2 linked regions of the Macaca mulatta genome follow. The protein of the gene in region 1 purifies or fractionates together with the protein of each later gene. This does not show direct contact. Links are inferred from orthologs where the notes say so. Each region holds a gene or a part of one and is shown on either strand. Other genes may lie near its edges.

Evidence for each region.
Region 2: the proteins of INPP5E (region 1) and PDE6D purify together in Homo sapiens (affinity purification with mass spectrometry; 3 studies listed by BioGRID and IntAct, with this or other methods). This does not show direct contact. The link is inferred for Macaca mulatta from reciprocal best matches to the Homo sapiens genes INPP5E and PDE6D.

What each region holds. Positions count from the first base shown.
Region 1 is NC_133420.1:6,069,423-6,073,226, reverse strand, and holds part of INPP5E (phosphatidylinositol polyphosphate 5-phosphatase type IV), read right to left. Parts: intron 3,764-3,804; coding exon 3,666-3,763; intron 2,975-3,665; coding exon 2,850-2,974; intron 2,630-2,849; coding exon 2,498-2,629; intron 2,149-2,497; coding exon 2,041-2,148; intron 1,554-2,040; coding exon 1,392-1,553; intron 1,278-1,391; coding exon 1,162-1,277; intron 595-1,161; coding exon 458-594; intron 1-457. UniProt on the Homo sapiens protein: Phosphatidylinositol (PtdIns) phosphatase that specifically hydrolyzes the 5-phosphate of phosphatidylinositol-3,4,5-trisphosphate (PtdIns(3,4,5)P3), phosphatidylinositol 4,5-bisphosphate (PtdIns(4,5)P2) and phosphatidylinositol 3,5-bisphosphate (PtdIns(3,5)P2).
Region 2 is NC_133417.1:137,046,293-137,050,196, forward strand, and holds the start of PDE6D (retinal rod rhodopsin-sensitive cGMP 3',5'-cyclic phosphodiesterase subunit delta), read right to left. Parts: upstream 2,350-3,904; 5' UTR 2,155-2,349; coding exon 2,105-2,154; intron 1-2,104. UniProt on the Homo sapiens protein: Promotes the release of prenylated target proteins from cellular membranes. Modulates the activity of prenylated or palmitoylated Ras family members by regulating their subcellular location.

The sequences.
Region 1 (3,804 bases):
CCAGGGCCACGAGGAGGGGCGTTAGGTGGGCGCTGGCCCGGAGGAGGGGCGTTAGGTGGGCGCTGGCCCGGAGGAGGGGTGTTAGGTGGGCGCTGGCCCGGAGGAGGGGTGTTAGGCGGGCGCCGGCCCGGGCTGGCACTGCCTCTAAGCACACAGAGGCCTGTTCCTGGGAGAGCCACAGGAAGGATGGGCGGACACCTGAGTGCTTAACGCCTTCCTCCCCCCAGCTGGCCACACCCAGCCCCCCAGCTGGGCCTCTTCACTGTTCAGAGCCGCTCCCCTTCCTGCCTTCTTCCTGCTCCAGGATGAGTCCAACCGATCCTGGGGGTGCACAGCCCTGAAGGTCCCAGGACAAAGCCCCAAGTGGAACCCCACGATGACAGGGACCCTTCTCAGCTCATGGGACGACGGCCCAACCCCCGGGCCCGAGAGGGAAGGAGCGCGGGAGAACACTGACTTGTCTCGCCCCGGCCTCACTTTCACCCGGAAGAGGCCGTACACAGGGCGGTGGTCGGAGGTCTTGATCCCGGGGCAGGAGGAGTAGCTCACGGGACAGATGTCACCCTTGTGGCGGCTTCTGTACAAGACGCGGTCCTTCGGGAAGATTCCGGAGGGAGGAAGTCCAGTTACTCCTGAGGCGCTGTGGGGCGTGGCCCACTCACCTCCCCGCTGTTCTCAAGTGCCCCCCGAGGGAGCCTTCTGGGACCCCCGACACTTATGCCCGTTTTGTTGCCCGGTGTCTGTGGCCAGCTGGACCAGGGCCTGTCCCTCGCCGCTGGAGACCCTGTGAACAGCGGCTGCTCCTACCCTGCCCTGCCTCAGTGGCTTCTTGAGGCATCCAGCAGACATCGGGACGTGCCCAGAGCTGCAGCCATGGGCCTGGCGGAAGGGTGAGTGAGGGTGCAACGGGCAGAGGCTCTGCACGCCAGGGGCGAGGGCATGGCCGGTGCCCTGTGTGCCAGTCGGCTCACCCAGCCTTGAAAACACCCATGGAGAGGGTGCCGTTCTCCACCAAAGGGGACTCGCCACGAGGCCAGGGTGTAGAGCTGAAGTTCAAGTCAAGGCCGTCCAGGTTCAGACCCCTGATGCCAGGCATTGGCTCCCGGCTGTGGGAGGTGCCCGCCCTGGAAGCACTCTGCGCCGGCCACGGGCGGGGCTCACCGTGTATGAGGGTGTCCTCTGCTTGGAGGTGCTGTCGTACGTGTCCTTCCCGATGTCAAACTTGTATGACGGGAGGAAGTGAATGTCCGGCTCCTGAAAGCCCTTGAAGATGGACCCTGCCACAGGATGGGCACCCGGACCGGCTCAGACCAGTTCGTGCCAGCCGTGGCACCCCAGGCCCTCACCTTTCCGCATCTCCCGCCACGCCCACCCCCCTCCCAGGCCCTCACCTTTCCGCATCTCCCGGATGAGCTGGTCATGCTGCAGCAGCGCCGGCACGTCCACCACCAGGCCCTGGCACAGGAGGGTGTCCACGGCCGTGCGCCCGCCGCTCAGGCGGAAGTTGAAGTCTCCAAACCAGAACACCTCATCGAAGCGGGTGGTGACGTCCGCTGTGGCACAGTGGGCCATGCATGGGCACAGGCAAGCAATGGCAGGTCCTTCCCCTTCCCCAGAACACGGCCTGGCAGTGGCTCCCAGGGGAAGTGGGTCTCGGGTGCCAGCCAGAGGGGCTGGGCCCCGATTCGCATTGGGACAGCTCCAGAAGGCACCTGGAGCAGCCTCAGGAGCAGACGGCGCCCATGGCAGGGGATGACCATGTCTCTGCTCCTTTCCACACAGCCGGGGGAGGCGGCAGGGCGGGCAGTGGTGAGGACCAGGACCCAGGCTAGCAGGACACGCTGTGAGTGGACGGGATCCACCCACCCCACTAACCGTGCTAAAGAACCATGAGGGGCTATGCGCTGGGGGCACTTGGACTTTTCGGCCCTCGCTTCCCAGAGCTCAGGACGCTGCCTCTGCAGAGCTGCCGTAAAAACGACGGGCGCCCCGCGTGTGAACCACGGCAGCACCACCCGCATGCAGTGTGGGGGCCCTCACCTGCGCTGGAGCGATAGGGGTTGGTGTCGGGCACGTTTCTGGGCAGGGCCAGGGCTTGCACGGTCCTGGTGTAGTCCAGCAGCCGCTCTGCCACCTTCCCGTCGCCCGCTGTGGGAACAGAAATGGGGTAGGGGTCACAGGGTTCTGGGTCTCCCTCAAGAGCTGCCCCCTGGACCATGCCCTGACTGCGCGCCCCCTGCAGACGCAACCCCACCAGGCATCCGCTGCCAGGCCTGGCCAGGGACATTTCTGCCTCGGAGGACGGAGCGCGGGCCCAGCACGGCATGCCCTCAGTGCCGGGGTCTGCTGGGGGTCCTCAGCGTGCATCTTAGCAAGCATGGTGCCCGCCCCACGGCCCTGGGTGGAAGATGAAGCCAGCAGCCAGGATCCCTGCCCTGGGCAGGGTCCTGGTCAGGAGAGGAAGGCTGTTCTCACGCAGCACCTGCGGCACGGGCACCGAGCGACTTACAGGTGAAGTGGGACGTGATGAAGAGGAAGGAGGTGCCAAAAAAGGTGAAGCTGACGCCCAAGGCCCCCTTGGTCTTGATCTGAGACACGATGCGTGTGGTCACCGTGGAGCACTCCACCTCTGCGGGAGGGGCAGCCCTCAGCTCACCTGCAGGACGCTGCAGGCCGGGGGTCGTGGCCGGACCCGCATGCCAGTGAGGGCTCACTGTGGAGCCCGTGTGTGACATAGCAACCCCCAGATCCCAGACGCAAAGCGTGCCTGTCCTGCCAAGGCCACGGGTCAGTCGTGGAAAGGGGGGCTGCCACCCTCCAGCCGCGCCCACCCCTCCAGCCGCACCCACCTGAGCAGAACCAGATGAGGTCCCGGCGGATAAAGAGCGACATGTAGAGCACGCCGTGGGCCGCCGAGGACAGCAGCACGTAGTGCGGGCCCAGCGTCTCCTGCAGACGCGTCTCCCACTCCCGCCTGCAGAGGAGGAAGCGCGGCCGGCTGGGGGACATGGCCTCCCAGCTCCACCACTCCCAGACCTGCCACCCAGAGCCCCTCGAGGAGCTACCAGGGAAACCCCACGACCTGGCCTCGGAGTCCTGCATGGAGACGCATTTGCCAGAGGCCGTTGTGGGCCAGAGTTGGGACCTGCCGGGGGTCACAGGCCCCAGTTCCACTTGAGTGGCTCCCCTGGATCCCTGCCGAGACCCCAGTGAGCAGAGCTCCTCCTGCCTGCATGGCTCATGGGCCAGGGGAGTGGGGCCCACCTCAGCTTGGGGCCAGGGCTCCTTCTCCCAGAGCACCTGTGTGGGCGGCAGCCACCTGCTGTTCCCACCACAACGTGGGGGCCCCAGGAAGCCTCGGAGCCCGGCCGTGCTCCCTGCTGCCCTTCTACTCTCTCACGTCAACAATTTGTTACCAGAATCCAATCTCATTGATTTTAAACTCTCCAAGTTGCCACCAGAAAAGAAACCGACTCATGTATCCCACCCAGGCGTGGAGGCTGCCCGTGCCCAGCCGCAACCCAGGTCTCAACGCCCACCCGTGCCCAGCCGCAACCCAGGTCTCAATGCCCACCCGTGCCCAGCCGCAACCCAGGTCTCAACGCCCAGCAGCTTCAGACACAGCAGCCCCAGGGCAGGCACTGCAGGGCCTGCGGCCGCCCTACCTGTCAGAGCAGCCCTCCTGGACACCGATGACGTACAGGTCCTGGGCATAGTCGGCCTCGGCTGGGAGCAGGAACTCGTCCAGGCTGGGCGGGAGCTCCTGGGAGGAGGGAGCACGTGGTGGGCCGGCTCCTCCCGAAA
Region 2 (3,904 bases), on another chromosome or scaffold:
GTTCGGAAAATCTATTTACCCAATAAAAGGTAGACAATAGTCAGTTTCTTACTAAAACATTAATTTTACTTTTTCCTGAAGGTAGTAGCATATCTTAACATTCCTGCTTTTCTTTTCCCTCTTACTCCACAAATGCCCAATAAAGGCTACCAGAGGATGAGCACGCCACTGCTCTCATGCTAACTTTTTGATGTGGCTGCTTCCCTGGTGCTTCAGGATTTAATCAGCTCAGGTCAAGCTTTCCCCGAAAGCCTGTTTCTGGATGCACTAACATCACTGAATTGGTTGATTCGCTTTTCCTTCTAGTGGGCTGACACAGATTCTGCTTTCTGAAACTCTTTTCCGTATTTGTCTCTTATCCTCTTTCTTAACAGGTTCAAGAGCCAAGACTGAAGGTGAGAAGCTCAAACTTTTCTGCTTTGTTCAAAAGCCATTAAAAAGGTATTTCTTCTTTTCAGCAATATGGTATTTCCAATCAGATGAAAACGTTGCTTCTGAAATCTCTCAGTTCTCCATAGTTTCTGGTTTACTGCTTACACAGCATGTTAAGTAACAATATTATTACATTGTTATATGTTAAGTAATAATACAAATTACTTGAGGGAAAAATAAAATTCATGTCATAGCTTTTCCAGCACTTCAGTCATCCCTATATACCTATATGATCCATTATGGAGAGAAACACAGAAAGGCACATGGAGCTCTAAAGAGGCTGCTACTAAATCACTACATGAAAGTACTGAAACTTTATCCTGAATGGTAGTATGCAAAGGTGATACAGCCTTTAGGTTTTTTTAAAAGCCTAGATCAATTTTCACTTGAAAAATCTCACTTGTACATCCAAAACTTCCTTTTTGCACTGTGGTCTAAAATGTATTACCAACTTGGTTTCTGATTATAGCAAAGCAATTAAATTTTGCAAGGGTGACATGGACATTGTGAAAACACAACAGAATATCAAGAAAACAGTGCTTTACTAAACCTCCAAGGGAGGAGTCCTAAAGCGGTGACTACCTTTTCACTGAGGGAGCAGTTTAAGAACGTTCCGTACTATAGATTACAGACAGGATGTATGCAGAGATTAAAGCCGGCAGGAGAATGGAAAATTTGAATATACAAGTTTGCATTTTTTCATCTGCATCATATGGTGACAGACTAACACACTCCACGAAAACACAAAGCTTCCTTACCACATTAAGGAGAGGCTGCAAGAGCGGCATCACAACAGGCCCGAGGCAATGATTTCTCTACCCCACTATCCTACCGTGGCCCCAGCGACATCACACTATTGCTGGACAGCTCCACCACAGCTAGGCATTAACCGCACCAACAGGAGCGAGCAAAGACACCTCGGCTAGGAGCCCCAGCGCGAGGCACCCCACACCTAAGCCTATGGTCCTCGTGTTGCTGGAAAGGAAACTGAGGCGCTGAGGGGGAAGCAGTGACCAATGCCTCAGAAGACCAAGAGTGTTAAGACGAGGTTGATCTTGGACTTCTCTTTCCCCACCTCCCCCAACTACTCTAGCCCTGGAAGAAGCCACAAGTTTGGAAGAGAAGTTGTGGAAACCAGACGGGGGTGGGGTGCGGTGCGGTGGGGGCCCTGAGAGAGTTTTAAAAGCACTGGTATTTGTCCCACACAAGGTCGCCCGCTCCAAGTCACTGTTCCCCGCTCCTCGGGTAGGCTTATAGCCAAAGAGGCTTCTAGACTTTAAGATCAGCCCACCGCGCCCCCTCAGCCCTTCCCTGCGGGCCGCAGCCCCCTCCCGGCCTCTGGGTCCCGGCCGGGGATTGGAACCCAGCCGGTCTCTCCGATAGCGTTTGCGACGCCCGGCACCTCTCGCAGCCCAGTACCCCAAGCTCTTCCGTCCCCACCCGCCACCCCCTGTGGCTCCCGTCAACGTCCCCTTCCTCCCTCAGGACGCCCCTGGGGGCGCTTCTCGCGCCTGGTCCCGCCGGGTGCACGGCACGCTTTTCCTTTCCTCTCCCCTCCCGCAGCCCTTCTTCCGCGGGGCCCACCTGGCGCGGCCCCCGCCCCCGGCCAGTCTCCTCAGTGAGCGGCCGCCTCCCAAGTCCTCCCGGCCCCGCCCCGCTCCCGGGCGGATACAGTTTGAAGCCCCTCAGGATCTCCCTGGCCCGCTCGTCCTTGGCTGACATGATGCGGCGCTAGCCGCCCGCGGCTTTCTCACTCTGGTCGGCGGAGCCTCGCAGACGGTGCCCAGGAGCCGAGGATGGAGCCGCAGCCCGGCTTGGAGACCTCGGGCGAGCAGCCGCAGCGGCCAGACCAGGACCGGCCTCTCTCTCCCCTCAGCTCCCGCTCCTGATCCCTTCTCCTTCCCCCTAGCCTCGCAGTGCCCCCCTGGAACCAATGGAAAGCCAGCTTTGGTGATTGGCATCCCAACCAGCCAGTAGGAGCGCGCTGCGCCTTCGCAGGGGGACTGTTAACGTCAATGGGAAGGGCCCTCCCCGGGAAGTCCCATAGGACACAATATTCATCTGGTGTTATTGCCTAGAGTTTGTCCCAGCGGAGTGTTGGCTTCGGATCTGCAGAGGCTTTAGGGACCTGCTCCCGCAGCTGAGCACACTAGCCATTCGAGACGGCAGCTGGTTGCACTGTGCTACGCGACAGAGACTACATTTCCCAGCATTCCAGCGGCGCACTCGGGGGACTACAGATCCCAGCGCACCACAAAGAGGTCCGGAGACTACAAATCCCAGCATCCTCTGCACTCGGTTCCTCTGTAACTTAGACTCCAGTGTGCCGCGCAGTGTGCGCAAATTCACAAACCCGCCCGCTGAGTTGGTGGTTTCGGAATCCCGAGACTTGAAACCCAGCGGGAAGACCCTTCTCACCGTCAAAAGAAGATGACAGCCCGCAGAGAGTTAACTTCTGTTTACATGGAACTCAGACATCTTCTGCAAATCATGGTAAGGCTGCTAACAACAAACAAAAACACTGATTAAACCGTGAAAGATAACAAAATGACTTCTTCAAATCGTGCTTGTTGGTCTGAGGCGCCTTTTACGTGTTTTTCAGGGGTTTTTGCTGTATTCCTGCTTTGGACCGGGAGAGCTATGGATTGTATACTCAGAATATCAAAACATAAAGGGACTTTGCTAATCTACCCCGTTGTTACGTATGAGGAAATTGAGGCCCAGAGAGGCGAAGGGATTGGCCACAGATCACAGCAAGTTCGGGCAGAGTTAGAATTCAGCCCTAAGTCGGCTGACTTGCAGTCTGGACTCTTTGCACCACACTAAGGAGGTGATATTTTTAGCAGCATAGCAATGTGAATTATTCTCCTTGAACAGTTTTCCTATCCAGTGTTGAAACACCCAGAATTAGGTAGCATTTATTTGGTGGATTTCTTTCAAGTGAGGGAGTGTGATATTTATTTTCAGCCTAGGTAGGACTTGGTGTTTTGTTTTTTGCCACTCAAGGTGACATTTAATGTGATTTCAGGAAGTAGGTAAAATTGCAGTGTGAGCCACGGTTTCCTTGGAAACCTCCTCTGTCCTTCTCTTGGCCTTCCTTCCTCTGCCTGTCCCCTCTTTCACCCATCTGGGAACTCACCCAATTTTTTCTTCCATGTAATTCAATAAATATCTTTTCAGCCTGTTATTTGTCAGGCACTGAGTGGGTAAAAGGTGAAGGACATGGTCACTGCCACCAGGAAGATAAACATCTATTTAGGGAAATAAGGAGACTCCACTGAGATTCAAGATGGAGTGTGATAAAATGGCATAAAAGAAACGACATCAGAATGCTAAGGAGGCCCTGATGAAAAGGTTAATTGCAGCTGGCAAAACTTTAATGGAGAAGGTGGCATTTGGACTTGAAGTTTTTTTCCATGTTAAAAAAGTTTTTTTTTTTTTTTAAATGAGATGTGACATACAGTATGGGAAC